Linked DNA regions of Arabidopsis thaliana. The protein of the gene in region 3 interacts with the protein of the main gene of each other region in a pairwise test. Each region holds a gene or a part of one and is shown on either strand. Other genes may lie near its edges.

What was found.
Region 1: the proteins of DL1 (region 3) and HK2 interact in binary tests that used the Arabidopsis thaliana proteins (3 or more experiments, as listed by UniProt).
Region 2: the proteins of DL1 (region 3) and PIN1 interact in a protein complementation assay, tested with the Arabidopsis thaliana proteins (one study listed by BioGRID).
Region 4: the proteins of DL1 (region 3) and DL3 interact in binary tests that used the Arabidopsis thaliana proteins (3 or more experiments, as listed by UniProt).

Annotation. Positions count from the first base shown.
Region 1 is NC_003076.8:13,910,063-13,918,964, forward strand, and holds HK2 (histidine kinase 2), read right to left. Parts: upstream 6,744-8,902; 5' UTR 6,276-6,743; coding exon 6,006-6,275; intron 5,909-6,005; coding exon 5,735-5,908; intron 5,630-5,734; coding exon 5,150-5,629; intron 5,070-5,149; coding exon 4,794-5,069; intron 4,710-4,793; coding exon 4,540-4,709; intron 4,435-4,539; coding exon 4,222-4,434; intron 4,129-4,221; coding exon 3,942-4,128; intron 3,871-3,941; coding exon 3,819-3,870; intron 3,741-3,818; coding exon 3,511-3,740; intron 3,417-3,510; coding exon 3,318-3,416; intron 3,232-3,317; coding exon 2,591-3,231; intron 2,505-2,590; coding exon 2,016-2,504; intron 1,931-2,015; coding exon 1,681-1,930; 3' UTR 1,221-1,680; downstream 1-1,220. Other genes in the region: AT5G35740 (Carbohydrate-binding X8 domain superfamily protein), read right to left, coding at 510-544, 630-884, 964-1,033. UniProt on the Arabidopsis thaliana protein: Cytokinins (CK) receptor related to bacterial two-component regulators. Functions as a histidine kinase and transmits the stress signal to a downstream MAPK cascade.
Region 2 is NC_003070.9:27,657,184-27,664,223, forward strand, and holds PIN1 (Auxin efflux carrier family protein), read left to right. Parts: upstream 1-2,489; 5' UTR 2,490-2,588; coding exon 2,589-3,834; intron 3,835-3,986; coding exon 3,987-4,221; intron 4,222-4,409; coding exon 4,410-4,495; intron 4,496-5,145; coding exon 5,146-5,303; intron 5,304-5,399; coding exon 5,400-5,476; intron 5,477-5,626; coding exon 5,627-5,693; 3' UTR 5,694-6,070; downstream 6,071-7,040. UniProt on the Arabidopsis thaliana protein: Acts as a component of the auxin efflux carrier; this activity is enhanced when activated by D6PK-mediated phosphorylation.
Region 3 is NC_003076.8:16,819,214-16,827,381, reverse strand, and holds DL1 (dynamin-like protein), read left to right. Parts: upstream 1-2,365; 5' UTR 2,366-2,845; coding exon 2,846-2,974; intron 2,975-3,341; coding exon 3,342-3,405; intron 3,406-3,501; coding exon 3,502-3,609; intron 3,610-3,696; coding exon 3,697-3,798; intron 3,799-3,882; coding exon 3,883-3,933; intron 3,934-4,058; coding exon 4,059-4,120; intron 4,121-4,293; coding exon 4,294-4,384; intron 4,385-4,479; coding exon 4,480-4,544; intron 4,545-4,741; coding exon 4,742-4,936; intron 4,937-5,188; coding exon 5,189-5,308; intron 5,309-5,376; coding exon 5,377-5,447; intron 5,448-5,586; coding exon 5,587-5,812; coding exon of another isoform or gene 5,813-5,818; exon of another isoform or gene 5,819-5,916; coding exon 5,917-5,967; intron 5,968-6,065; coding exon 6,066-6,294; intron 6,295-6,367; coding exon 6,368-6,507; intron 6,508-6,592; coding exon 6,593-6,721; 3' UTR 6,722-7,098; downstream 7,099-8,168. Other genes in the region: AT5G42090 (Lung seven transmembrane receptor family protein), read right to left, coding at 1-552; AT5G42070 (uncharacterized protein), read left to right, coding at 7,263-7,468, 7,812-8,057. UniProt on the Arabidopsis thaliana protein: Microtubule-associated force-producing protein that is targeted to at the leading edges of the forming cell plate during cytokinesis.
Region 4 is NC_003070.9:21,891,142-21,896,711, forward strand, and holds the start of DL3 (dynamin-like 3), read left to right. Parts: upstream 1-2,000; 5' UTR 2,001-2,271; coding exon 2,272-2,412; intron 2,413-2,911; coding exon 2,912-2,962; intron 2,963-3,078; coding exon 3,079-3,199; intron 3,200-3,328; coding exon 3,329-3,421; intron 3,422-3,740; coding exon 3,741-3,802; intron 3,803-3,959; coding exon 3,960-4,077; intron 4,078-4,218; coding exon 4,219-4,555; intron 4,556-5,252; coding exon 5,253-5,400; intron 5,401-5,570. Other genes in the region: ZCW7, read right to left, coding at 39-180, 256-769. UniProt on the Arabidopsis thaliana protein: Putative microtubule-associated force-producing protein, able to bind and hydrolyze GTP. Collaboratively with DRP1A, participates in clathrin-coated vesicle formation during endocytosis.

The DNA.
Region 1 (8,902 bases), 2.9 Mb from region 3:
TTATTATATAGCCACCTACATTAGGTGGATTTAAATAAGAGGAGAACTTGTAAAGACAAAGTTGATGTTGATGGATCTCTGTAGTATATCGATAGCTCCTATACTGTATATGACTTGATTCAAGTATGTATTTCCATTACATTCATGGAGACACTTGTTCTTTCACTTCCATGAACAGAATGAACCAATGTTGTTATATGGTAGCACTGTGTGATAACAACGTATTCTAAACAGAAATGGAATCAGCCTATTACTGCGAGTCTGTGACTACATGTTAAGTACTCTAGATTGAGCAATAGTACCAGATTGATGTATATTCGATACTGTAGAAAATCTCAATGCACAGTAAAAGCAGGTTGTTGAAGAAATTTTTATCTCAGACTGGAGTGTAATGGGAGAACAGTACATGGATACTGCTTTGGAATGAAAACATTACATAGAGAAAACGTATAAATGCAAAATCATAGCTTTTCATCTTGCTGTATCTTGTCTTTGCTGTGTCGTTTGAATCAGGGGTTATACTCATACTGGCAAGAACCATGGCCTGTCACAATCATAGCTGGATCAGAAACAGATGGTTCACTATCTACTAAGATTCAAGGGAGAAAGAGAGAGAGGAGAAAGCTTACTGGGGTCAAGCTCAGTGATCATGGCAGCTCCTTTGAAGTAACAAGAACCACCTTTGTTTTTATAAGTTTGGTAGTAACTGTTGAAAGCAAAGGAGGCATGATCTCTGATTGTGTTAGGCAAGAAGCAAGGCTGGTTTTCCTGCTGCATTTTGCTGCAGTCTGCTCCACCTTTTCCGCAAGCCCAGTCTAAGGCTGCTTGCAACTCATCGTCTGGCGTTTGTTCATCCGCTATGCACCATTGTTCCGACTCTGCCTCTGCTTAAACATACACTCACATACATCTGCATAAGGCCAAAAAAGGGACATAGTATGAACATTGCAGTGGTGTTTTTACCTGAACGTCGAGGAAGAGTCATTGCTATGATAAGCAAAGGAAGAAGTATCCTTATCAAGAAAGTTGACATGTTTCTAGAGAAGGCAATGAGTGGTGCAGAGAGATCCAGATCTGATCTATCTAGTTAGGAAGTTTGGGAGCTAAGGAAATGAGTGCAACTTGATACCCTTTATACTAGTTAGAAAGAATCATTAGTCCAAAAGTTCAAGATCTATGACTAGGGAATCTTGGTTTGCTTCAGATGCAATCATGTGCCAGATCTGCATTGGTTTTGACTTTTGAGGAAGATTTTGTTCTGCTTCTGGAAGCTTTTCAGAACACACTGTCATTTATACGCTTCCTATCATGTAATCAAGAGCCATTACTATTACTACACAATATACAAGCTGTTTCATAGTTAAGAGGACAGAGTTTGGGTTTATATATATATAAAATGAATATAATGGAGCTATACCCTAGGAATCTACTATACACACAGGCAGAGATCAATGAAGACAAAGTGTCTATACAAAGAGAAAGATCGGTTTTCGCAGTTTTTCTCACTCAACCAGACGAGGTCTTAAGCTGAAAGAGACCTGTGAAGAAAAATTGACAATGAACTGGTTCTTGCCTTGATCTCAAGTTGAATTGCAGGTCATGGATGTTCAAGATATACTACCCGATGTCAAAAAGCTCTCGGGTTGATATATAATCCTACAAGGGAAATGGCTTTTTCTTTTAACAAGGTTCAAAGAATCTTGCTACCGCTGTGTAGAGCACTTCCTCTTCAAACGGTTTTGATACATAACCATCCATTCCACATTTCATGCATTCTTCATGAGTAGCCTGAATAACATCTGCTGTCATTGCTAATATCGGGACGTGCCAACTACTAAATTTACAGAACATTTCAGCTGAAACTTCTCCAGAAGCTATTTTCTTATTGATTTCCCTCTCCAGCTCACGGACTCTCCTTGTCGCTTCAAATCTGCGCAAAAAATTATAAAGTTACCAAGGACGACATCCAAGAAATGAACAAGCTGAAGAGATAAGATTGAAAAATAGTTATCTACCCATCCATTTCAGGCATCTGGAGATCCATGAAGCAAGCATCGAAGTTATGAGGCGGCTTAAGCATTGCCAATGCAGCTTTGCCACTCTCAACGCATGTAACAATAGCTCCATATTTCTTAAGTGCACCTTCTGCAACTCGTCTGTTCACAAGATTATCATCCACAACCAGAATCTGTTTTTCTCTTAGCAAGTGTCCAAGATTTCTTCGCTGTCTGTTCGGTTGCCTCTTCTTGCCATTGACAAGGGTTTCTTGCAAGCAACATATTAAGACACTCATCCGAAGAGGCTTTATCACCACCTCATCGATGAGACCAGTAGACTTCATCTCACTGCGCTCAGTAAGAGTTGCAGAAGTTGCCAAAAGAAAAATCTTTGGGACTCTTGTAAAGGTTACTTTGCTTCGGGTAAACAACTCGTCAAGTACTGAAAATTCTTCCTTGTTCCAGGCGTCTTTGTCTATTAGAATCATAGCCAAATTTTCTAATTTGCTGCAAAGATTCCAGAACAATAAAACGCTTTTAGTGAACTCACTATAATCTCTAAAGACAGACAGACACTAATGTACGTAAAGTACCTGATACAACAAGTGCATGCCATTCTCAGACTTGAAACAATGTCTGCAGATATTCCCAGTCTCCGAAGTTCGTACCTGGTGACCTCTGCTCTAATGTTTCTGTTATCAATAACTAATGCTCTCAATCCTGTAAACTCCTGAATAGCTAGATCGAATCGTTCCAGCTTAGTAATCGACGTATTTGTTTCTGCTTTCCCGAAAACTCCAGTAAATGAAAAAGTACTGCCTATCCCGGGCTCACTCACAAACCCCATCTCTCCTTGCATGAGTTCAACCAAACGTTTGCTTATACTCAAACCTATGCCAGTTCCACCATAAGTCCGCGATGTGGAACTGTCGGCTTGCATAAAAGGTGTGAAGATTCGGCCTTGTGCATCCACAGGTATGCCAACTCCAGTGTCCTCCACTGTAACTAGCAATTTGATTTGATCAGAATTCTGACTCTCAGTACTGTAACATGTCTTGAAATTCTTCCAGCTTCCCCATGCATTTACCGCAGGAAACCCGCTAACTGTCTCACCGGACTCGCTGCATCCTAAAGCTAGTCGCTGTTTTAGCACTGCGTCTTCAATAGTAAGAGGCTCCTTTACCTCATCTGCAAGGTGCACTGAGATAAATATGTGTCCCCTTTCCTGTGTGAACTGTTATTAAGTAAATAACAAATGAGTACTGTAATAGTAGAGATTCGTGAAGCCTGTTGTTCTGTAAGAAGTAAGGAGTAAATTACTTTGATTGAGTTTCCAACCAGGTTTGTAATGATCTGCCGGAACCGACTCGGATCACCGACTACAACATCAGGAACTTGACTAGAAACATAAACGGCCAACTGTAACAAGAAGTCAACATTTCATTACATATGGAATTTGTTTGCCATATGAAAACATTAAGAAAGTAGAAGGTCATGCAGTTTATAATTATACCTCAATTCCTTTTTCATTTGCCTTGCCAGAGAGGAGAGATGAAACATTATCAAGAATAAAACGCATATCAAAAGGCACATTTTCAAGCTCGAGCCTTCCGGATTCAATCTTTGCCTGATCAAGAACCTCATTTATTAGTGATGTAAGATCCTTCCCACTGCCATGAGCAGTTTGCGCATAGTCCATCTGCTTCGCATCAAGATCGGTGTCCATCAGCATTTTCAGCATTCCTGTAACAAAATGCTTAAACGTTTCAGCTGATTTTAAGAGAACATGCAATATTGACCAAGGATAAGTAGAAAAAGTACCTAAAACTCCATTCATCGGAGTCCGTATCTCATGAGAAACAGTTGCTAGGAACTGCAAAATAAGAAGCATTTCAGTGAAAAAACAAGTAAAGCTTTTGAGACTATATGATTCACAAAGATCACCTGTGACTTTGCAATGTCAGCGGCCTCAGCACGAGCTTTGAGTTCCCTCATCTTCTGACAATCCTCTTCAACTGTCGCAATTCGGTTGATGGCTTCATATAAAATATAACCAACAAGAAAAGTAATAACCAGAACTAAGATCGACGGTGTTATCGCTGTCCAGGGAATGGGAAGTTTATGCTTAAACCTGTAAATGAAAAATGCCACTTTCATACTTCAGAAAACAGAGAAGTGAAACATATCTTATAAAAATGTACCATAACAGTTAGAGCTAACTAACCTGCAATGCATCTCATGGTTCCTTGATGGATCACCAAAATCAAGGCTACTTATATGCTGCTCACTTATATCCCCAATTTCTGAGCCATACATTTTTATTAGACCTGAAGTGTTAGTTGTGTCGTAAACATCCACAGCAATTGTCTGTTTGCTGGCAAGTTGGTGAAGAAGTTTCTCCACCAGCGATGGCATATCATATGATGCACCAAGGTACCTGTTTTTAAGTGTATCTTATTAATATTTTCTGGTCCAGAGATCATTCTTTGTTACATAGGTTCAATTTCTTCAGTCCTAGAATCATTTTAAGTAGAAGTAGTACCCAATAGTTGCTTCAACACGCTGTTCTTCTGTAGCATCAGGCGGTAGGCTCGTGTCATAGACAGCAAAGGTCAACACAACACCAAGATGATTTGACTTAAGAAGCTTAAATGGAGATGTTAACACTCCTTTTCCTGATGCCCTTGCCCGTAAGATGTTTTCACGGTCTTCCTGCAAAATAGTTAGACTTTTGAATTCTCTTTTAAGGACATTGGTTTGGCAAAATAGTTCAAGAAACTTTTAGACGTTACTGACTTCTCCAGACATCATGTCGACCGATACAATATGGGAAACAGTTTCTTGAGCAAATATAACTGGCGCGTATTCGTCTTGAATCGGTGCGGGATCAAAGTTTTCAGGAACACAATCTTGTACAACTGTCTGGTCCTCAGTTTCCATTTTCTTTATTGCCCATCCATGCTCCTTTTCAAATTTCTCTCTTTCTGAGTGTGGGACTTTCAAAGCATACGCTACACCACTAGTAAGTGGCCTCTCAAAGTTTGTTCTCTCAGTATATTCTTCAAATGTTCTCTGTAAATGTAACAGAAGTTGATGATTTAAACATAAACTTGAGACACAAAATGTATTTAGCAGTAAGAAAAAAACATCACCTGATCAATGGCAGATGGGATTTTACCATGATGAAATGTAGATACAAGAATAGACAAGGCATGAACATGGTTCAAGCTAACATTGAACTGATCTTGTAAAACACGTGCTCGTTCGTCACACATGTTTGCCAAAGTCTCCCTCCTTTTCATTATGATCTCCTCATTAGTGTCCCAAAACCACCAAACAGAGAAGGAAACTCCTCCTAAAATACCAAGGAGAAGGATATTCTTCCTCCATCTTCCAGCCCCTCTAGAAGAAGTCTGAGCACGTTGTTGCTGCTTCTTTGGAGCTAAAGCCTCTTGCAGATGTACTTTCTCTTTCCTCTCACCTCGTGCTTTAGAATGAGATACATAAATCTTATGGCACACTAACACACCAAGGATTAGACACCACCATGCATTTCTTAAATACGATGACAAACCCTGCTCCAGCCCTTCTTCATGGTTTTCTTCCTCAAGGTTTTCAGGTTGCTGTAAAATCTACTCATAACCAAACACATTCACAATAAACTTTTGTGAGAACTAGCTAAACACCAAATCTTAAAGCATTTCCTTCACATGTTGTCGAATCGAATATTATCTTACCGGTTCAAGATTACCACACATACAAGATGTTGATGAGATAGAATGTCCTAAGCCAAGATTCCAGGGAAGCCCTCTAGTCTCTTGTTTATCAGAACGCACACTCAGGGAACATGTAATACCATAGTTTGTCCACATTCCAGGGCTTGATTCCTTATGACATTCAAAGGATGTTACCTACAACAAATACAGAGAAACTGTTACACTTTAAGGCAAATCTGGTGCGTATTCAAAAGCTCAATTTCAACAAATACAAGTCAATTCATGCAATTACCTGATCTGAATCAGAGAACAAAGAGACCAAATCATGAATCTCACTTCTTGTGACATTTTGATGTCTATACAACACTTTCTCTTCTCCATTACAAGAATCTGTCTCCTCCTTCTGACTTCTACCTAACCGTAAGAACATAACCAAAACAATTACCAAAGAGCCACACAAAATCAGGAAGAAGAGAGGCTTCTTTAGCCATTTCTTGTCACTGCTCGACGACTTCTTAGCTTTCTTTGAAGTAAGATTCAAGAGCTCACAAGTTATAGACATTTCGACTCCTAATCTCAGATTCAGCTGAAGAAATTCAGATCTCTTCAAACCCAAAACTAAAACTCTATCAACAACAATCTCATAGTTGAGTTCTTGAAACCATCCACAAGAAGAACAAGAAGCTGTGACATAGTCCCAAACGCAAAGCTTTTTTCTTTTTTCTTACTTAAGACGCAAGAGGACAAGATGAACCAAACCCAGTGGTTGTTGCAATGGGAGAAAGAAGACATTGTTGAGAGTAAAGAAACGGAAAAGAGAAAAAGGACAAAGCTTTATCTTCTTTCATGGTTTCAGGGTAAAGAAAAATGACAAAGCTTTCTCTGTTTTAGATGTTTGTGAGCTTAAACAAAAGAAACCCAGCTGGTGTCTCTCATTACCCAACTGGACTCAATGATCAGAGTTTGGATAAAAGAAGCATTTGTTAGAGAAATTATGAGCTAAAGAAAAAGAATGTCACTTCTCTCTTCTTTTACTCTACTTTTGATTATTATTATTGTTTTTGTCTTTTGGTGAATAAACATTTTTAAAAACTGAGGTTTTTGGGTCCATGATTATCTCATCATCTAGGTGGGGAAGGTATTATAACATTTTTAGTTAAATTAGAAAAAGTGATTGGCTAATGAAAATATAAATAAACTCAACTATACCAAGAATCAATACATGCTTCTCCTAAAACCTACTCATTGTTATTTGTTTTTTGTTTGGTCTTTTTGGTGTTTTTAAATTGCTTCATTAGCATAGTTTAACATCTACTCTTAAGTCTTATCTTATCTTGTATAAAATATAACGATGAGTGGGTTTTACGAGAAGTGGGTATTGATTTGATTCTATATGTACATCTTATTTCTTTTTATCAGTTTATGTATCTTTGTCTCCCAGTTACATTTATGATTCTGATTATTTTTATGTAAGAAGTTCTGTTTAAAATTGTATTTGACTTTGAAAATATATTAGGACTAGATCATAACCCGTGCTGTATAGCACGGGCATTAATATTTTGTATAAATTACATTGTATACTTTGTTATGTTTGTTATGTTTATCAAAATTATTTGTTATATTTGTCAAAATTTAGTAAAATATATTCAAATATAATTAAATTTATTAAAACTTAATAAATTTAAAAGTTTTTTTTGTTTAGAGACGCACTATCTACATACAAAATACTCGTTTCTATTTTTTTGAGTATTTTTAGGGCCTGAAACTTTTTATCCAAACTGACCCAAACCCAACTGGACCCGACCCGAACCGAATATTTAGAATTATTCTATTAGGTAGTAAATCATATACCCATTAATCCCAAACCCGAACGGGTTCTACCCGAACTCGAATGGGTTACTCATATGCCCAGCCCTATTCTCTGATTTAATTATCTAAAAAATCCCAATAAAACATATGTTTTGTTGAATACCTTTTATTCAAAAAAATTTACATCCTCTTCTGCCAAAATCATTTCATAAGACATCCCAAAACCCTTGGAATAATGATTCTATGAATGAAGAATCCTAATTTGAATATACCAAGAGGTTTTGAAAGGTTTTAAGTTTTTGATAGGTGTGTATGTGAGAAGGTACATCCATCGTGATGGTAATCTGCTTATTTATAATTTTAACTTGCATTATACAGCAGGTAGGCTTATATTTTAGTTAAACTAAAAACTTTTATTGTAAAGTTGATTACAAATATATGATATTATTTTATTTGATTTTAAATGTATAGTAAACTGCTAGTTGTATATGTTTTGTTGATATTATTTATATTGTTTAATGTTTAAAATTATATACTTGTATTTTGATTGTTAATTTTAGAGTTTCACCTGTACTATACCATCTTGTATTAATATTGATTTAAACCCGTCAATTCTAGGATTTTCCAACTTGTATTAAAAATTGAATCACATCATACACATTAAAAAATCTAATATGTTATTAATTATTTTAGTATATAAAATTATAAATTTTAAAATAATATGTATGAAATTGAATATAAATATTCAAATTATAACACAGTACTCAGTAAAATTTTTTTTTAAATCTACTTTTGACCCGTTATAGTATTTTTTCATGTATTGAACAGTTTATATTTGTTTTTTTTAAATTTAAATTGTGGCATATGCGAAAAAAACTCTAATTATTTTTTTATAACGATGATATTATTTTTTTGCAAAAATAAAATCATATAAAGATGAGAGGTGAACTATAATAATTAATAAAAAATTAATATGATAATTTAGATATCAAATCTAATTTGTTGATTTTAATTGGTTACTTTTTTGGAAATTAATAATGTATTTCGTTTTTGAGTTAAATTTAATTAATTAAATTGACTTTTTAATTTTTAAAGAAATGAATTAATTTACTCTTTAAAATTTTATTTCTAATGGCATACATATGTAATTACTTACAAAAAATAAGGTTATATTTAAAATGTACTTCCCAAATAATATAGTAGGATAGAAAACCAGGATTTATATATATATATATATATATATATGTGCTTAAATTAAATAAATTGAAGAAAATAAAGTTGATTTTTTCGTTAAAGTGTTTGTAATGGAATCGCTATTGTAGTATTGTGTCTACACCCAAATTGAAACCAGACATAATACATGAAATTGACCAAAATTGT
Region 2 (7,040 bases), on a different chromosome or scaffold from region 3:
CAAGTACAATAATTTTCTTTCTCATGAATGTTAAACCGAATAGAGAAGCCAAGCAAAGATATAAAAAATACAATGGGAGGCTTCCACCGTAGACAGTCCAATGATCATCTACATTTCGACCATTAACCAGTAACGACTAACGAGAATCAATATCAAATATTTTCTTAAACTCGGCAACCATTAATCTTCTGTTGATAAACTTTAAAAAAATTCATTATAGTAATCTTTTTATTTATCTTTTAGCCAATAAAAAGATTAGTCAAATTTGTAAATTATTCCATTGGCGTTGTCGCCAAAGTTTCATTTCAAAACCACATAGTTAGTTTATACTTCTTATTAAAAAAGAATTATGAGTTCGAGCGATTTTGTTAACTAGTGATATTTCGGTCTATATAAATTTTGAAGAAAACCCAAAAGAAAGCATAATTTGATGCAAAACATGTATCCACTTATCATTCCCATTGATTAACGTATTTATTGAGATTAGTTTGTCGACTTTTAGTATCAGCCATAAGACTCACTTTATGTATATTAAAGCAGGTCAATATAGATCATAAAGTGTTAATTAGTCAAAATTTGCTTTATTAAACCAAACTATCTTACTCTCTTTTCCATTTTTCCCGTTTCAAGTGTTTGCTAAAAGATCAATTTTAATTTTCTCGTTTCAAGTATTTGCTAAAAGGTCATCCATCACCCATAACCATAAGTCAAGCCGTGCAAACATAGAGTATTAGAAAAAACGTTAATTTGAGTTCAATATTACACAAAGTCGCAGTTGTAACAAGGATTTGCACAACAAAAGATTGAAAGATTAATGGATTAGTGACAAATAATTTGAAAGATCCAAAATATCATTAACTATATGGAATGTGAAAAAATCCTGCAATTTTTTTTTTTTTTTTGCCGTGTTAAAAATTCAATTCTTTCAAAGAACCAATTTTAAAATTATTTGTCAGTAAAAAAAAATAGAAACTACTTGATTTATAATTTTTAATAGAAAAATGATGTTAAGTCATCAACTCTTTTATTTTTTCGTAACTTCTCAACATATTTACTTTATTCGGATTGCATAACCTACTTTTTTTGTGTGTATAGTCTCTTTAAGCGCAAGAAATGGCAAGGAAAGTCGAATTATATTAGTACTATATATTATTATTATGCTTAAAAAAAAGTTGAAAACATTGGAAAAATAAAAAGCTGGAAAGAAAAAAAAAAGAAGAACTGTGTTTGTATGGGATGATGAGAAAAATGAAGAGCAGACTGTTGATGGAATATTGTGTTTCCTCAAATATCAACACTCCTCATTATATCATCAACCCATTGCTTTTTGTACGGACTTTATTAGTAGTATTAAAGAACACATCAGACTGATTTGTGTAAGCAAACCAGAACCACCCTCTTTTCAACATTTTTCTTTCAAAAAACTTCTACGTATTTATGTTCAATAAAACTTTGTTACTAATTTTCTCAACGAAATATATTTTATAAAACTTTGTTAGTAATGTTATACAGTAAACAGTAAAAGAAAATAAGTTCCAAGATGAGCGATCAAAGGATTGAATAGTTCATAAATAATTCGTATGCGCAACTACAACTGTAAATGATAACCTATGCAATGATAACTCACACACACCCATCTCACATGAAAAAGTGATTTCGACCTTATGTTAGTGATATCACATCTTTTCTTTTATCTCCACCCACAAAGTCTTTGGTTAGGAACTAGTTTGTTCAATTGCAACCATTTTTCCAAAGACTTTCAACCTCTCTTCGGAGAAGACTTCTATCTTTAAAACCAAAATTTTCTAAGTTCATATAAACATCAAATCGAGCCTTATATCATCACTTCAATGTGTATTTATCTTCTGTTGTGATTTATCAATTGAAAGTCAATACCAAAAATCCCATCATACTAATCACAATAATTTATAGCAAAAATAAATTTAACAATTTTTAAACATGGTAAAAATATAAATTTAATAATTAGTATAGGGGATAAATTGATCAACCGAATAGATTAATTCATAATTTGAAAAGGCCAAAAAAAAAAGAGAGAGGCAAAAACAGAGGCTCTGCTTTGGACTCCGCAAAGCGCACAAGGCCGCCTCTTTCACTATCCCCAAAGCTCCACCACGCACCCATCAACCACCATTTTTATTTCGTTTTTATTACATTCAAAAAAACTTCTTTTTGTCGTATTTCAATCAAAATTACATCACACACACTATTATGTTGGAATGTTTAACAAAACAAATAAATATGTTGAGCTATTCCAATTTTACATTTAATGTTTTTTTACTCCTACACGTAAACTACTTTTGAATATAATATCTAGAAACTAACCAAATAATCGAAAACGAAAATAATAAAATCAGCAAACAGTTTTAGCTTCATTAACAAAATATATATATGTTTAATTAAAAAATATGGTATTTTCTCAACGGACAAAAAAATAAAATAAAAAGAATATAAAAATGTGGTCTCTTCTCAACACTCACTTTACTCTTTTTTCCCTCTTCACCACTTCTCTCTCAAACTAAAGACAAAAGCTCTTCTCTCTTCCCTCTCTCTTCTCCGGCGAACAAAAGATGATTACGGCGGCGGACTTCTACCACGTTATGACGGCTATGGTTCCGTTATACGTAGCTATGATCCTCGCTTACGGCTCTGTCAAATGGTGGAAAATCTTCACACCAGACCAATGCTCCGGCATAAACCGTTTCGTCGCTCTCTTCGCCGTTCCTCTCCTCTCTTTCCACTTCATCGCCGCTAACAACCCTTACGCCATGAACCTCCGTTTCCTCGCCGCAGATTCTCTCCAGAAAGTCATTGTCCTCTCTCTCCTCTTCCTCTGGTGCAAACTCAGCCGCAACGGTTCTTTAGATTGGACCATAACTCTCTTCTCTCTCTCGACACTCCCCAACACTCTAGTCATGGGGATACCTCTTCTCAAAGGCATGTATGGTAATTTCTCCGGCGACCTCATGGTTCAAATCGTTGTTCTTCAGTGTATCATTTGGTACACACTCATGCTCTTTCTCTTTGAGTACCGTGGAGCTAAGCTTTTGATCTCCGAGCAGTTTCCAGACACAGCAGGATCTATTGTTTCGATTCATGTTGATTCCGACATTATGTCTTTAGATGGAAGACAACCTTTGGAAACTGAAGCTGAGATTAAAGAAGATGGGAAGCTTCATGTTACTGTTCGTCGTTCTAATGCTTCAAGGTCTGATATTTACTCGAGAAGGTCTCAAGGCTTATCTGCGACACCTAGACCTTCGAATCTAACCAACGCTGAGATATATTCGCTTCAGAGTTCAAGAAACCCAACGCCACGTGGCTCTAGTTTTAATCATACTGATTTTTACTCGATGATGGCTTCTGGTGGTGGTCGGAACTCTAACTTTGGTCCTGGAGAAGCTGTGTTTGGTTCTAAAGGTCCTACTCCGAGACCTTCCAACTACGAAGAAGACGGTGGTCCTGCTAAACCGACGGCTGCTGGAACTGCTGCTGGAGCTGGGAGGTTTCATTATCAATCTGGAGGAAGTGGTGGCGGTGGAGGAGCGCATTATCCGGCGCCGAACCCAGGGATGTTTTCGCCCAACACTGGCGGTGGTGGAGGCACGGCGGCGAAAGGAAACGCTCCGGTGGTTGGTGGGAAAAGACAAGACGGAAACGGAAGAGATCTTCACATGTTTGTGTGGAGCTCAAGTGCTTCGCCGGTCTCAGATGTGTTCGGCGGTGGAGGAGGAAACCACCACGCCGATTACTCCACCGCTACGAACGATCATCAAAAGGACGTTAAGATCTCTGTACCTCAGGGGAATAGTAACGGTATAGTCCCTCTATAACTTTGTTGTTTTGTTTTCGCACCCTAATTTATTTTCTTTACAAAAACACCCCCAAAATTTCTCTATGTCCTTCGATATTTATGATTTGGTTAAGGGGTTCTTTAATTGTTTACATGTGTTGTTGCCTTACTTTAGACAACCAGTACGTGGAGAGGGAAGAGTTTAGTTTCGGTAACAAAGACGATGATAGCAAAGTATTGGCAACGGACGGTGGGAACAACATAAGCAACAAAACGACGCAGGCTAAGGTGATGCCACCAACAAGTGTGATGACAAGACTCATTCTCATTATGGTTTGGAGGAAACTTATTCGTAATCCCAACTCTTACTCCAGTTTATTCGGCATCACCTGGTCCCTCATTTCCTTCAAGTACTGTTTCAAACTTGTCTTATTTTCACTTTACTTTGGTTTTGGTCTACTATTTTAACCACTTTCTTGATGCATAAAGGGTCAGCCTTGAATGCGTATATGTTTGAAAGTTTTTTCTGATAGATTGAAGTAACAAAAGATTTGAGAAAGATCTCTTTATTGGAATTAAATTGATGTGGTCTGTGCAGGTGGAACATTGAAATGCCAGCTCTTATAGCAAAGTCTATCTCCATACTCTCAGATGCAGGTCTAGGCATGGCTATGTTCAGTCTTGGTCAGTTCCTTTTTCTCTTTTCTTTTATTTTTACCTCTTTTCATTTATTACATAATTAAATACCATAAAACAGTCAATTGTTCTCTTTATTTCTGACCTTCATTCTTTATGGTGTTTTTTAAATTTTAAATGATTTTAAGAAAAAAAACAAATCATGTGGAAGCATGATTCTCTCTGTTTTCTTTTTCTTTGAAGTTTTTTTGAAACATGTTTGTATCAAAAAAGCAAACAAAACTGGCTTCACAGCAGAAAGCATGCTCCACAGTTCTCTGCTTATCATCATAACATGTCTCTCCCTTGAATAGGAGGAACCATTTTTTATTTTCTCTTAAAGCAACAAACAATTTTTTTATACCTAATATTGACCCCCTTATCGATGAAAAAACTTTCTTTTTTACCTTGTTTATGTTTCAGTAGACTTCCATCAACTGATTATAAAATTTGTGCTTAATCATGACTTTATGGAATGAATAGTTTAGGATAACGATAATGATGATGTTAATGTTGTGGTGGTGGATCAGTGGCTGTGATGATTATTTTTATGTCACTCTTTTGCAGCTAAAAACAGTGTATAAACTTAAATTAACCAAAAAGCAAAACAATAATAAATTATTTGTTTAAATTTGTGGCTTTTTTTGGATGTGTTAAAGGGTTGTTCATGGCGTTAAACCCAAGAATAATAGCTTGTGGAAACAGAAGAGCAGCTTTTGCGGCGGCTATGAGATTTGTCGTTGGACCTGCCGTCATGCTCGTTGCTTCTTATGCCGTTGGCCTCCGTGGCGTCCTCCTCCATGTTGCCATTATCCAGGTAGTTTTTATTTGCATGATCAAATATGAAACACTTCTGTTGTGTCTACTGTCGTTTATACGATTTCTAACCATTATTTTTATTGACAACAAACAGGCAGCTTTGCCGCAAGGAATAGTACCGTTTGTGTTTGCCAAAGAGTATAATGTGCATCCTGACATTCTTAGCACTGCGTAAGTTTATTAATCTATTAAATAGTTTTGTTGTTATAACAATAAATTTTGTTGTAGAAAAAAAGTTAGGTTGGTTTTGCCTACATTAATTATGATTAGGTGTATATATAAATATATTTTTGTTAACGTGAGTTCTGATTTTTGTTGCAGGGTGATATTTGGGATGTTGATCGCGTTGCCCATAACTCTTCTCTACTACATTCTCTTGGGTCTATGAAGAGATATTACCAAAACACAGGGACTTTGTTTTATTCTTTTGTGGGATGATGAATTGTGAAAAGAACAATGCCCTTTTTGTTGAAAACCCACAAATTAAATCAGAAGCAGCTTTAGAGAATCTTTGAGGATAATTGAAGCTCTTGAAGAAGAGAAGAAGAAGGAGACTTAAGTAGGAGCTCAGCAAGTTTTACCTTTTTCTTAATTTTAATGAACATTCGTGTTTCCTCTTTTGGTAGGTTTTAGGAATTTGTAAAAGCTTTGGCTACTTTTAGTGAATTAAAAACGTTAAGGAAAATATCAAATTTTGTGTGCATGCTAAAAGTGAATTGGTGTGTATAGGTCTAAATCTCACCAAAATAAGAAGTGTTTTAGCCATTTCAAAAGTTAAGTTCACTTAACATTTCTATGTTTCGTTTGCCTAAATGTGAAAAATCAGAAACTAAAACAGTAAAGTACATCTTCCACAAAATGTTTGAGAAAGGGATTTCTACGGGGGATTTGGGAAAATTTAAAACGTAGTCATGAATATTAGAAACTTTACAATAGCTTAGGTGGGAAGGTATGAAATAGCATGTGACTATAACAACACAGACGACACGAGTATTGGATTCAACAGAACACTCGATTAAATATGTAGAAGATAGGGGACTTGGTGCATGCGTTACGTTATTCGACTTGGTCAAGATTCCTCTTCACTGCGTTTGTGGAATCTTGAAAGATTCGTTTAGTGTTGTCAATTGTGTATCCTTTTACCGATTCTTCTCAGAATCATTACATACCACTTAGATGCTGATGCTTTTTATGAATAAAAACAAACCTTCATATTTATACGACGATCTTATATAATGATAAATCAAATGTATAATACTTAACTTGGTTTGAATTGTACTCTCGACATGAAAATCATTTAATTGCTAAAAATATTGGCTTGATTTAAATATGTGGAATGATGAATTTTTATTTATTTTAGTTACCAAATGAATTTATTAGAAAGTGAAATGACTGTATACAAAACAAAAATAAAAATAAAATTGATAGTAATAAATATATGAAGGCGTAATAATTAGAATGAGGAAAATAGTTAAAGAAAGCGACCCTAAATTTATGGCACGCCTCACCCTCACGTAAAAAAAAACCATCATTTTATTCTGCATGAGACGGCTGTAGCCGCCGTTGCATTCTTCAAATTTTCAATGTTTCCAATTAATAAAACTATTATTATAGCTCGATTTGTAAATATTTAAGCCTGCAATTCACATTGTTCAAATTCATAAAATAAAAAAAAACAAAAGTAATGGGTGAGGAATAAAAAGAAGAATGAGACAAGAGAGAAGAAGAAGACGCC
Region 3 (8,168 bases):
ATAGATAACAGAGAATAAGAAATAGACCTTAGGAAGAACAGTTCTTCCAGCAGAGAGATAATCACGACCTCCCTTTTTACCTTCAAGGTTATACATAGCGGATCTAACATCCATACTGATTTTGACCTGTTGGAGACAATTAGCGAAGACGAGAGAGTACTGATCCGCATCGTTCTCGGTGAATACGGTGGAGAATCTGCTCTTATCTCCTCCCTTGAGATTGTTGAAGGTGAACACATGCTTAACGAGATCTGATTGTAGAGCGCACGTGATCTCTTCTTCTTCAAGCTGTTGGATCACATGAACCCAAGCGTCTCTAGTGCAGAGAAAGAAGCCCACTTTGGAGAGATCGAGATCGGGATTGCTGTTGGAAAGCCAGATCTTGGAAGCGTCAAGCTCAAGACGACCGCTGTGAGTGAAACCGAATTCGTCTAAAGGGATGATTGGACGATCATCGGATCGGATCTCTGATTTACGAATCTCAGCCGAAGCTATGGAGATGGAGATCAAGAGAAGGATAAGGATCGATGAGAAGCGTGAAGAGAGATCCATGGGAACTAGGGTTTCGTTCTTCGACTTCACAGAGAGATTAATCTGATCTCAGATGTGAGATCCAAAGCAAAATCAATCCAACTTGTTCTTCTTCCGATGAAAACGGTTGTGTGTGACCAACCAAATTAAATTAGTCTTTTTTTTCTTTCTAAGAAACAAAATAAATACCATTATTTTATTAGCAACAAGAGAACCCATTTTCCTTCATCATTAAGGGAATAAACCATCTTTGACGGATTAGTTGATTTCTAGAAACAAAAATTTCACCAATTCACCGATTCCAACCGAATGGCCGGCGTTTCCAGTGTATTTGAAGGAGTTGTAGAGTGATAGGGAAGAATTCATAAATTTCTCTTTATCTTTAATTTCTCGTAGTGCAAATGTAAAAGCGGATAAGTTGGCACGAAAGATTCGTACCGTACCGCATCATGTCACGTATGTAAACAATATCTCTCGGGATTGGATCTTTTGAGTTCAAATTTATATCGGTTGACAAAAAAAAAAAAAAAAAAAAAAGGAAGAAATTAAAGTATTGATGAATTTCGTTTTGAATTGGTCGGAAATTGGATGTATAAGTTGAGAACAAATTATCCATCAATTTAAATCATAAAATGTTTTTCCGAATGACTTTTTTTTGGAGATGTATTATTTCTAAATGTTTTTACGGTTTCTTTAGATCTCGTTCAGATTGTATCAACAAGCGCGAAACCTTCATTAAACATAAATGGTATACAAAGAAAGCTTAAATACTAAACCGGAGAGATATTATCTATTTATAATAGATTGGTTTGACTGTTTGAGTGTCTATGGTCTAACTCTTGTCCTCTCTACACAACCCGACACTAAACCAACATCTTCCACTCACATATGACGAAAAACATCAGAAAGTAGTAGAAGAGTACTCTTAGAGATTTTGTTCAAGAATCGCAATTCGAAAAAGTTACACTGCAAATAAACCGTGTGACCCGTGCAAGTATATGTGCTTTTGGAAGCTAAATTCATGCAGCTGCTACGGAGACATACAGTCTACATACCTAAATATATTACATAGCATGTCTCACTCCAACCTCATTTGTATTTCATATTAGTCTCAACATATTCCCATAAAGCATATGTTAAACCTATTTTACATCACGTTTTCACTAACTTCAAAATTCTAATTTGAGGGATAGAAGTTGGTCACATGATACATATTTGTTAACGTATGAACATCATAAAATCTAACAATTGATACAAGAGTATGTAGGATACAAAGTTACACGTTGTGTTTGTCTCAAACAACATTAGTAACATTTTTTAAAAAAATTGTGTAGACAAACACAACATTAGTAACATTTAAAAAAAAAAATGTGAACCGGTTTATTTTTTCACCACTTAGCTGGAAAATAAATAACGTGTATTTGCGTAAACAATACATAAGGTTTAAAAATGTGTTAGTGCTATGTTTTATACATTTCTAAAAAGCGTTTGGATCTCACCAACCAAACATAGTATTTGCCAAAATGCAAACGCTATCTAAAATCGATGTGACATTACTAGTCAGATTTAGTGGGTTTGTTCTAGAAAAGATCTTTATTTTATACATTCAAATTTTCAAAACTACAGTTATTTTGTTGTTTAGTGTCATCCTTTTGAATAAACAATCATAATCCTTAACGTCTCTTATCTTTTTTTTGAATCCTCAATCTATGGACCGTTTGAACTGCAATCGTAATGAGGATGTTCGTGGTCCACATGAAATCACTTTACTCTACTAATAAGTGATAGTTTTTTTATTCGAATTTTAACTCGTTACATTCTTTTACAAGAAAATCGACCTTGTTATATTTATTTATATGGTTGGTCATGCATGCAATAGTATTATCATTACTTTACCTGGTTAGAGAGATGTGGAATATTAAGGGATTGGTTGAATATATACGACACACCTCGTCGTTTTTATTTTGTTTTTGGTCAACTCCTCGTCGTCTTTGAATTCTCGAAATAAACACCATGCCGTTTCAAATTTTCTTTGGAAAAGAAAAGACCCTGTATTGGCTTTTATATAAACCGCTTTCTTCCCCTTTACTTTTTCCCAACACTAGCAAGCAAAAATTCTTCATCGACTCAAATTCAAAAACTCATCTCTCTCTATCTCTATTTCTCTGGTTCCATAGCTCACCGTCGCATCGCAGATCTACTCCTTCCGCAATAAATTTTACCGGCGGAGGTATCAGATCTCGCCGATCTGTTGTAGCAGCTACTGTATTTTGGGCTTCTCATTTGATATTGGGGAAACGAGGAGTAGAGGACGATGGAAAATCTGATCTCTCTGGTTAACAAGATACAGAGAGCTTGCACGGCTTTAGGAGACCATGGAGACTCCAGCGCTTTACCTACTCTTTGGGATTCCTTGCCTGCGATCGCCGTCGTTGGTGGTCAGGTTTGCATCTCGATCTCCTTCCCCTTCCATTATATGCTTGACGATCTATCTCACGATTCGTTCGTTTTTTTTGCGATTCGGAATTGATATTGAGCTGAGGTATTCGGATAAATTTGCCCTAAACTTCGTTGTTTTTGCTTATCAACATCCGGATCGTGAGGAATTATAGTTTAATAGCTTCTACTATGAACTAGCTTTGCAAGCAATTGGTATTGAGGAATGTTGACTTGGCTTTGACTTGGATATTTTTTCACTAGTTGGTCTTGAACCATTTAATTTAAGCTACGATTGTTGTGGAGAGGGGTTTCTGTACTTTGATAATTCTATGTGGCATTAAGTTTATGTTGTATCCTTATTGTGTTGACAGAGCTCAGGGAAGTCTTCAGTCCTGGAGAGCATCGTGGGAAAGGACTTTTTACCCCGTGGATCTGGTAAATACAGTGTTAACACTTCTTACTTAGTTTTAATTATGAAATTGCTTATTTCCTTGAGTAATGACAATATGCATTTGCGGTAACTATTTGTAGGCATTGTTACTCGAAGGCCCCTTGTCTTACAGTTGCAAAAGATCGATGATGGAACCCGGGAGTATGCAGAGTTTCTTCACCTCCCGAGGAAAAAGTTTACTGATTTTGGTGGGTTTCGGCTATCTCAATTTGCAGTTCAAGTTTCACCTTCTCCTGTATTCCATTGATATTTGATTAATTTAATCACCTCTATAGCTGCTGTGAGGAAGGAGATTCAAGATGAGACTGACAGAGAGACTGGACGCAGCAAGGCTATTTCTAGTGTTCCCATTCACCTTAGCATATACTCTCCCAATGGTAAGGACAACCCAAAATCTCTTTCCAGTTGTATGTGCTTTTTGTTCATTCTCTAATTTTTTATCCTCTTTACTATGTGTGCAGTTGTCAACTTGACACTGATAGATCTTCCAGGGCTTACAAAAGTTGCTGTTGGTAAGTTACAGTAGAGCAAGAAGTTTTGGTCTATTTTTTCTAGCGATGAAGCATGAGGCAATAGACTTTATTCTCTACCATACATAATTTGGCATGACACGACAAATTTCTTTTGGTTGATGCAGATGGACAATCTGATAGTATAGTGAAGGACATTGAAAACATGGTTCGGTCCTACATTGAAAAGGTAAATGAAAATGCTTACTCCCAGACCCTTTAATGTTTTATAGATAGCTATCGCCAGTTTAAATTAGATTCGGTAATATATAAGTATTCTCCCTATATTTGTTATGTTTTCGTAGCGCCAAATGAGTTGACACTATTCTGTTTTTTTTTTTATTTAATTAAATTTCCTTATAGCCCAACTGCATCATTTTGGCAATCTCACCTGCAAACCAAGATCTTGCTACCTCAGATGCAATTAAAATTTCCCGTGAGGTTGATCCATCGGGTGAGCATTTTACAAACAATTCATTTTTCCACCTAAGAGACCCAACACATTATTCTGTCATCCTATGTCTCTTATAATCTTGGTGATCTTCACAGGGGACAGAACATTTGGTGTCTTGACAAAGATTGATCTTATGGACAAGGGGACGGATGCAGTGGAAGTAAGTTGAATTCCCAGTTTATAGAACATCTGTACTAGAATTTCGAATTACTGTGAATAAAATGTGTTGTAATTAGTCTATGATATGATGTTGGAGCTATAAAATGCTAATTTGTGTAGTAACATCATAATACTTATGTTCCCTCATTAATGTTTATTGCGTGCACCGCTACTTACCAAATGATATTTTTTGCTCAGATTCTGGAAGGGAGATCTTTTAAACTTAAATATCCGTGGGTTGGTGTCGTCAACCGTTCCCAAGCAGATATTAACAAGAATGTCGACATGATTGCGGCTCGGAAAAGAGAGAGGGAGTACTTTTCCAATACTACTGAGTATAGGCACCTTGCTAATAAAATGGGTTCCGAGCATTTGGCAAAGATGCTCTCCAAGGTACGTGCTTTCACGAGGCTAGGGGTAGTTTTCTTCACCAGGTTCTTTATAATAAGTAAGTTGGCGTTGTGAAATTTGTTAGGAGTGGTAAATAAGAGTTTCAGGGCCAGTGTTTTCACGATTGCTGCTAATTTTCTTAGCAGCCGACAGAAAATACTAAGAAACTACGAAGTTATGGCAATGCTTAGCACGTTTCTCTGTATAAAACCATCAGGACAGAGCCTAATTGCAACAATTTTATTTGTTGCGCAGCATCTAGAACGTGTGATCAAGTCGAGAATTCCTGGCATTCAGTCACTTATTAACAAAACAGTATTAGAGCTGGAAACTGAACTAAGTCGCCTTGGAAAGCCTATTGCAGCTGATGCAGGGGTAAATTGTGTATTCTTTTATTTTTGATTGAATTGCGCTATCAAGATTTACTTAATGTTCTGATGCAGGGGAAGTTGTACTCAATAATGGAGATATGTCGGCTTTTTGATCAAATATTCAAAGAGCATCTTGATGGAGTGTACGTTTTGACTCTTTTTACTTCAAATGTTTAAGATTACACCATGAGTTGTTATAGCGTCTGAGTTGATATTTCTACTCTTGACCTTCTGAAACTACAAAAGGAAAATTGTAATTTAAGACTATGGTTGATTACACAGGCGTGCTGGTGGTGAAAAAGTGTACAACGTGTTTGATAACCAGCTTCCTGCGGCTCTGAAGAGACTCCAATTTGACAAGCAGCTAGCGATGGACAACATCCGGAAGCTGGTCACTGAGGCTGATGGTTACCAGCCTCACTTGATTGCTCCTGAGCAAGGTTACCGTCGTCTCATTGAGTCTTCTATTGTCTCCATCAGAGGCCCTGCTGAAGCATCTGTTGACACCGTATGAACTCTTTACTTTCATCTCTAAAAAGATGTATCAAAAACCTAACACAAAACAATAAGCTTCTCTCTCCGTTTTTTTTTTTTTCTATGGTTAAATATTAGGTTCATGCTATCTTAAAGGATCTGGTTCACAAGTCTGTGAATGAAACTGTGGTACGTTCTTTTTTCTTTTAGTAATATATATATATATATATATATCTCCAACAACTAGTACTTTTGTACAATGTTATAGACGGTTTGAACATGTGCAGGAACTAAAACAATACCCAGCTCTGAGAGTGGAGGTGACAAATGCGGCGATAGAGTCGCTGGATAAAATGCGGGAAGGAAGTAAGAAAGCAACACTGCAGCTGGTTGACATGGAGTGCAGTTACCTCACTGTTGATTTCTTCAGGAAACTTCCCCAGGATGTTGAGAAGGGTGGTAACCCCACACACTCCATTTTCGACCGCTACAACGATTCCTATCTCAGACGAATCGGTAAGGTTAACCCATATAAATAAATAATTATCTGGTACCGTATATCTCACAAATTTTAGACATTTGGCAACAGGATCCAATGTTTTGTCTTACGTGAACATGGTCTGTGCTGGCCTGCGGAATTCAATCCCCAAGTCCATCGTATACTGCCAAGTCCGAGAAGCGAAGCGCAGTCTCCTCGACCATTTCTTTGCGGAGCTCGGTACCATGGATGTAAGTGCTCTCTGCCTTTTTTCTTAACCTAAAGAAGTGTCATTCGGGTAAACACTGAGTCAACTAATATGGTGATATCCAACAGATGAAGAGGCTCTCGTCGCTATTGAACGAAGATCCAGCAATCATGGAGAGACGCAGTGCCATCTCAAAGCGGCTAGAATTGTATCGAGCAGCCCAATCCGAGATCGATGCTGTTGCTTGGTCCAAGTGATACCGGCATGTCATGTCCACTGTTTTGCTCGGTTCTGGTCGGTGTGGCTCAGACTCGGAGCAGAGATTTAGGGTCTGTAATTTGTATAAGATGATCTTCCCGATACCATGCAGTATCGTTTTATATAACATCCACATTGTTTGTCCTACCTCTATGTTTTTTGTCCATCACCCGATATGTTACGTATCGTTTTATAACATCCACATTGTTTGTCCTGCCTCTAATGTTTTTTGTCCATCACCCGATATGTTACGTATCTTTTATAACATCCACATAGATTAGATTTTCTCTATTCCCTTTATTTAATTACTATAAAATGTATTTTTCGCATATGATAATTTTTCTGTAACAATAGTATAATATTAAACATTCTACCCAAAAAAAGAGTATAATATTTAAATATGATTACCAATAAGAAAAAAATTCTAATAGTTTAAAATAAAAATTTGTAATGTACTCTTTTTTATTTTGTTTTGCGTTTCTGAATTTGTGGCCATTATCTTCTCACACTCTCTTCTCTTAGCTCACAGAGGAAAGAAAAATGGCGAATTCCATTTCATCAATATCTCTGCCTCGATGTTTCATCTTCAACAATGGTAGTCACAAATCAAGGCCATGGCCAAGCTCAAGCAGTTTCTTTCTCAACAAATCATCAAAGCATCATCCTCATCCACTACTCTCTCTTTCTTCTTCGCCGTCTTCCGTCGTAGAAACTGATAATGACGACGACAACGACCTCACTTTCAGGTACCCTTTTGCTTCTCTTCATCGATTCCATTGGAAAGCTTAAACCTTTCTCAGCTAATCCAATTTCGTTGACATTAAGGATTTTAGAGTTAGTGATAGATTAGGGATTGCGTAAATGATGAAATCATAGAGACTCTTTTCTGCTGTTAACTTGTTAGTGTTATATGAATCTTCAATTTTGTTACACTAGTGAATCTCTTAAAATGATTCTCTACAATAACTAACCTCATAAATTTCTTTGTGGTCTCATGTTGGCTTGAGCGATTGGTTATATTGTCATTTGTGAATTGTGATGGATCCATCTCTCTATAGTCAATAGATCATAACATGAGGAATGAAACAGTGGTTGCAGAGCGTGTGGGAAAGAAGAGAAAGAGAGTGGGTGTAATGGTGACGGACGGATTCAAGGTGGCATTGCAACTGTCCCCGGTTTCGGTTGGTGGCCAATTAAGGCTTACAGGCCTTGTCCCGCGTTTGTTGAGGCCGGAGGTAGATACCGCCGCATAGGGCAGAGCATGGACGAGGTTGCATTTGGTCGTGGTGACTCTAAATCCTCCACTTCTGTAGACACCAGTGATTCACTACTACGGTATGTTAATGCCTAGTATTATTTATATACACTTACAATCAACAATGAAACAAATTGGACCGCAACAAAAACCGTCTTTTGGCATGTACAAGAATGTCAAAATGGGTTTGA
Region 4 (5,570 bases), on a different chromosome or scaffold from region 3:
CCTAATCAAGCTGGACATGAAAGATGACAAAATCTTACCTAATTTTCCCAAAGCTAGAGAAGATTGTATGTGTAACCAACATAGAAGGCTTCGATGAAACTCGTGGCTCAGCAAACCATCTTGATGGCACACCTCTAAGTATAATCGTATCAGCCTCTCTCCTTCCTTCCCTTGAATGTCCTGCAAATCACAATCACATCAATTACCACGAAAAAATCGTAAAATCAAAATCCAAAATTGAAGAACCAAGATTACCAAAAGCGTAAAACTCCTCCCAATCCTTCTTCAACTTCTCGAAATCATCTGAAATCGGAAGTACCACACTAAGCTTATACTTAACTCCTTCCAAATTAAGCTCAATACCATTCATCTTCTCCACCAAACTCTTCCTCCAATCCAAAAACTTCTTCTCCAATTCCTTCACATCTCTCTCTCCATCATTCTCCTTCTTCTTCTTCTTCCCATCGAGAAACCCTAAATCGCGTATAAACAACGATCCATGAGCAACTGGCTCCTCACGCTTCCGTTTCTTCAAGTCCTTGTGACGACGAACTACGATGTCTTCCTCCGGAACTGTGACGGAGGTTACGACAGAGTTTTTGAGGTAATCTATTAAGGATCGCTTGAGTTGCCATTCGTCGATGGATTTGGATACGGATGGGACTACTGGGTGGATTGTGAGATTGAGCTTGACGCGTGAGACGAGAGCGAGACCGTTCTCTTCGATATCTAGAGTTTCTATCGGAGATAGCTCTTCTAACGATCGCATTTTTCGCCGTCGATGCAAAATTCAAAATCGCGATTGGCTCTCTCTCTCAGAGTGTCGTCGGCTATTGAGTACAGAGAACAGGAGGATACTGAAAACAGTGGTAAACCAGAATTCCAAATCGGTTATTTCCGGTTCTCTTGGTTTCCAATATTTTGGGAATAAATTGCATAAACGGTCCAAAATAGAGATAAATTCCAATGTAAATTTTTTGAACATTGACTGAAACCATTAATAAATGTTGAACGTTTCATCCAATGCCTAAATATATATGGTAAGGATTCTTATCTTAGTTATGAGTTTTGGCATACTAGGACTGAAGCATTGCATCCTACTGTGAGTTTTGGTGGTTTGTGCTCTTCTGTTGACCTTAGCAATGCGTCCATATAAATTGAGTATGGTTGGATTACTGTTCATACCTCTAGCGAAACATTGCAATTCGCTAGGTCTCTATTGTGGGGTTAGATGGCATGAACCATTAGTTGCACAAATGAACTCTAATGCATATCATAGAGGCTTGTTTTTGGATATAGTTTACGAAATATTGAGATGATATCTTTCATACAAAAACAAAAAATGCATATGATGATGACACTCTTACATACACTTTTGGTACTATCTATCCGCGTATGATTTTAAGATAATTTTTTTGAGCTTTTACTTTAATTAGAATTTAGTGATATACTTGTATGCACAAATTTATACAAGCAATTTATGAATACGGTATACACAAATTTATATACAAACAGTTAGACCAATACCAAAATTTGGTGATATACTTGCAAACCTAGCATGCTAACGAATTTGATAACTTACATGCCTTATCCCATCTAGCGAAACAAATTAGAGAGATTAAACTGTTGGAGATAAATTTAGAACTCGGTTGATCACAACTCAACATTTCGCACTCAAACATTACAAAAATACTAGTCTCCTACATCAGGATTACAAAGTGGTCTTCCGCATTTGTTCATTTGGAAAAATATACAACCAAACAAGCGCATTCGATGATACAAATTCTTGTACCACATTGAAATTCACTTACAATATTTTAATTCGAACAAATTTAGCTGAGAATGTCTTTATTGATAGCAAAAAGTTGTGTTAATTTATATTTTACGCATCCACATTTGTGTGTTTTATGCTTTCACATTTGTAAAGAATTTCTTTGAACAGTTGTGAAAATTTTCAACATTTATGAAAGAAAAGAAAAAACCACTTAATAATTTTCAACATTTATGAAATTTGAAAAATGTGTTAATTACTACGTGTTTATGTAAAGTTATATGACCCGTCTTGCCCATTCTCTCCCCGACGAAGACACACACAGACAAACAAATCCTAGCTTAGCACCGTCGCGACCGAATTCGAAATTCCGGTAACCCAATCGCCGGGAAAATCCACCGCTCGTGGCTACCGATATTGATTCTAATCGGATCTAGCGGCTCCCTTTCTTCGTCCAGATCTCGTACTTCATTCGACCTCGATTCGCTGTGCAAGTTACGATGGAGGCGATCGATGAGTTGTCTCAGCTTTCGGATTCGATGAGACAAGCGGCGTCTCTGCTCGCTGACGAAGATCCCGATGAGACCTCTTCTTCTAGACGGCCAGCTACTTCTCTCAACGTCGTTGCCCTAGGGAATGTGGTGGGTTTTCTCTCGCTTTTTCTGTTTCTGAGATGTGACTGTATTTGGCGTTTGTTGTAAGTTTTATACTGTGATCGAGTGTAGATTTTTGTTGCCATATCGTGGATCTTGTGGATCTCGATGAGGTGTTTTCGAAATGGTCCCGTAACCTAGGAGTTTGGTAGGATGTTTTGTATTCTTCATCTCTTCGTTCGTAGCTTGTTTTGTTGCGTTTCTCTCTTTATTAGGGATTATTTGATTCTATGAGATTCAAACCTGGGAGGTATTACTATAGTAGAGAAGGTTGATGCGTTTGTTATTTGAAACTATGAGAAATCTATTTTAGAAAGTGTATATCAGAACGAAAAGTGTATGTGATTTACTCTGTTTCCTAAAACACTTATCTGTTGGAAGACAGAAAAAATATTGCTATGTGTTTGTGATTGAAACTTCTTAGGCTTAGAAAAGAAAAATTTCTTATGTGAAGACTGAAGTTATTTCACTTTTCTTGGTGGATCAGGGAGCTGGAAAGTCTGCAGTTCTAAATAGCCTAATTGGGCATCCAGTTCTGGTAAGTTGTGTATTGAATTTGAGTGCGCGGCAATTTGTGTATGTCACTATTGGCTGATACATTTTCTTAAAGTAACCACTTTGTGTTGTCCTGTCTACTATGATTACCATGGATAGCCGACGGGTGAGAATGGTGCGACACGGGCTCCTATTATCATTGATTTGAGTAGAGAAGAATCACTGAGCAGCAAGGCAATAATCTTGCAAATTGACAATAAAAATCAACAAGTTTCTGCAAGTAAGAGCTCCCTATGTGCACATATGCAATTTAGCAATGATTTGTGAAGCTATTTCTGCATGTAAGATGCAATGCATTAGATTAATATTTGACTAATATTTCCGTTTTTTTCGAATGTGTGTATTACAGGTGCACTAAGGCATTCACTACAAGATAGGCTTAGCAAAGGAGCTTCAGGAAGGGGTCGTGATGAAATATACCTAAAACTTCGTACCAGCACAGGTAATTCCTTTCTACTTGCACAATCATAAATGGGAATCCCTATTTAATGCAACATCCATATTACCCAAGCCTAAGTCGGATAATGTCCCCTACTTAAGTGAACAGTTCAGCTGTAATGAGTTTTTACCTCTAAATCTAACGCACATTAGCGCTTCAACTTCTTTTGGGTAGAATCTGAAGCTAAGTTGTGAAAATTGGACTATATATCTAAATGAAGATCTAACTTAAATGTTCTCTTTGGAACATGAATTATCACATATCGTTTGTTTTGTACTGGTTTCTGTAATCATCATAACATATTTTTCCCTTTTAATTGCAGCTCCACCACTGAAATTGATTGATTTGCCTGGACTGGACCAGCGAATTGTGGACGATTCTATGGTAAGCTTAGGAACTGCTTGATGCCTTTGTCATCCCCCTAATCCACCTGTCAACCATGGAGAATTTCCACATTTTTTATTCGGCATTCTGGCTGTAGGGCTTCATAGATTCATTATCATTGTCATCTTATAATTTGTTTCTCTCCTCTCTTTGCAAGATTGGTGAACATGCACAGCACAACGATGCTATATTGCTGGTTGTTGTGCCTGCTAGCCAGGCATCTGAAATTTCGTCATCTCGAGCCCTGAAGATCGCAAAGGAGTATGATCCAGAGAGTGAGTATATAGGCACTTTCGTTATACAGACCCTTCATTATACTTCTAAACAACTGGGGTTACTACATTTGGATAGAAACATTGGAACTAAATTTTGTGTATACTATAACCAAAAAAAAAAACATCACTCCTTATTTATAGGTACTAGGACAGTAGGAATTATCAGCAAAATTGATCAGGCAGCAGAGAACCCAAAGTCCCTTGCAGCAGTTCAGGCGCTTCTTTCAAATCAAGGACCTCCAAAAACAACTGATATTCCATGGGTTGCACTTATTGGCCAATCTGTCTCAATTGCATCAGCGCAGTCTGGAGGCAGTGAGAACTCTTTAGAAACTGCTTGGCGTGCTGAGAGTGAAAGCCTTAAATCCATTTTGACTGGTGCTCCACAAAGCAAACTTGGCAGAATTGCCCTGGTCGACACTCTTGCTAGCCAGATCCGTAGCAGAATGAAGCTCAGGCTTCCGAACATCTTAACTGGGTATTTCCTCTCTCCATATGTTTTTGCTTTTATATGTCAAATGAAAAATCGATTGTTTGTTTGCCTATTTTTCTGTACTGGTACTTTAGGGAAGATTTACAATTTTCTCCATCAAAGCCAATTTGTTTTGTTTCTTTGAAGTTGAAGTCGACCTTTAGGCTTAGTTAGCTAGACTTTCCAGCTCCTATCATCATTAGCGCACTTCTCATGAGATATTTTAGAAACCTTTGTCCTTGTGTCTTTCTAATCAACATATACGGACCAGGTCGAAGCTAAGTTTCTGAAAAGGAAAACAAGATTCATATCTTTAACTGATTGAATAGATGATAATCTACCTAAAAGTCAAGAAATTAAACCTCTATGTTGAATTTGCAATGGAGAGGAACGGTGTTTAGTGAATTGGAATAAACCAAAAGGCAAAGATAAAGCAAAAGGGAAAGTTGCATAAGAGGAAATAGTTATCTGAAATTGGATATGTGCCAGATTTATCTGCCATCGTTACTGAGTTCTGAAAATAAGAACTCTTGCTTGCAAGATCTCTGGTCAATGCTCATCATCATCTGTTAAGCTGATATATTACTTTTGTCTCCCAAAATGTGATGTCTATCTTTTGTTTTAGTTTCTGGATGATTATTTAGGGACATGATTTTGGTTCTTATGATAGTCCTGAACTTACAAATTCCTTTGTTACATGCAGACTCCAGGGTAAGTCTCAAATAGTGCAGGACGAATTAGCGAGGCTTGGTGAGCAATTGGTTAGCAGTGCTGAAGGCACAAGGGCAATAGCTTTGGAGCTTTGTCGTGAGTTTGAAGACAAATTTCTTCTCCATTTAGCTGGTGGTGAAGTGAGTAATTTCCTACGTTAGCTGAACCATACTTTAGCCTTTTCATTTTTCTAGTTGTTATGGAAAATGTGTGGTACTGTTTAAATATAGACAATTAAGAAATTTAGGAAGATTGTCTGATATTATCTAGGATTTCACGATACTAATATTGGATCTATATGTGATATGTT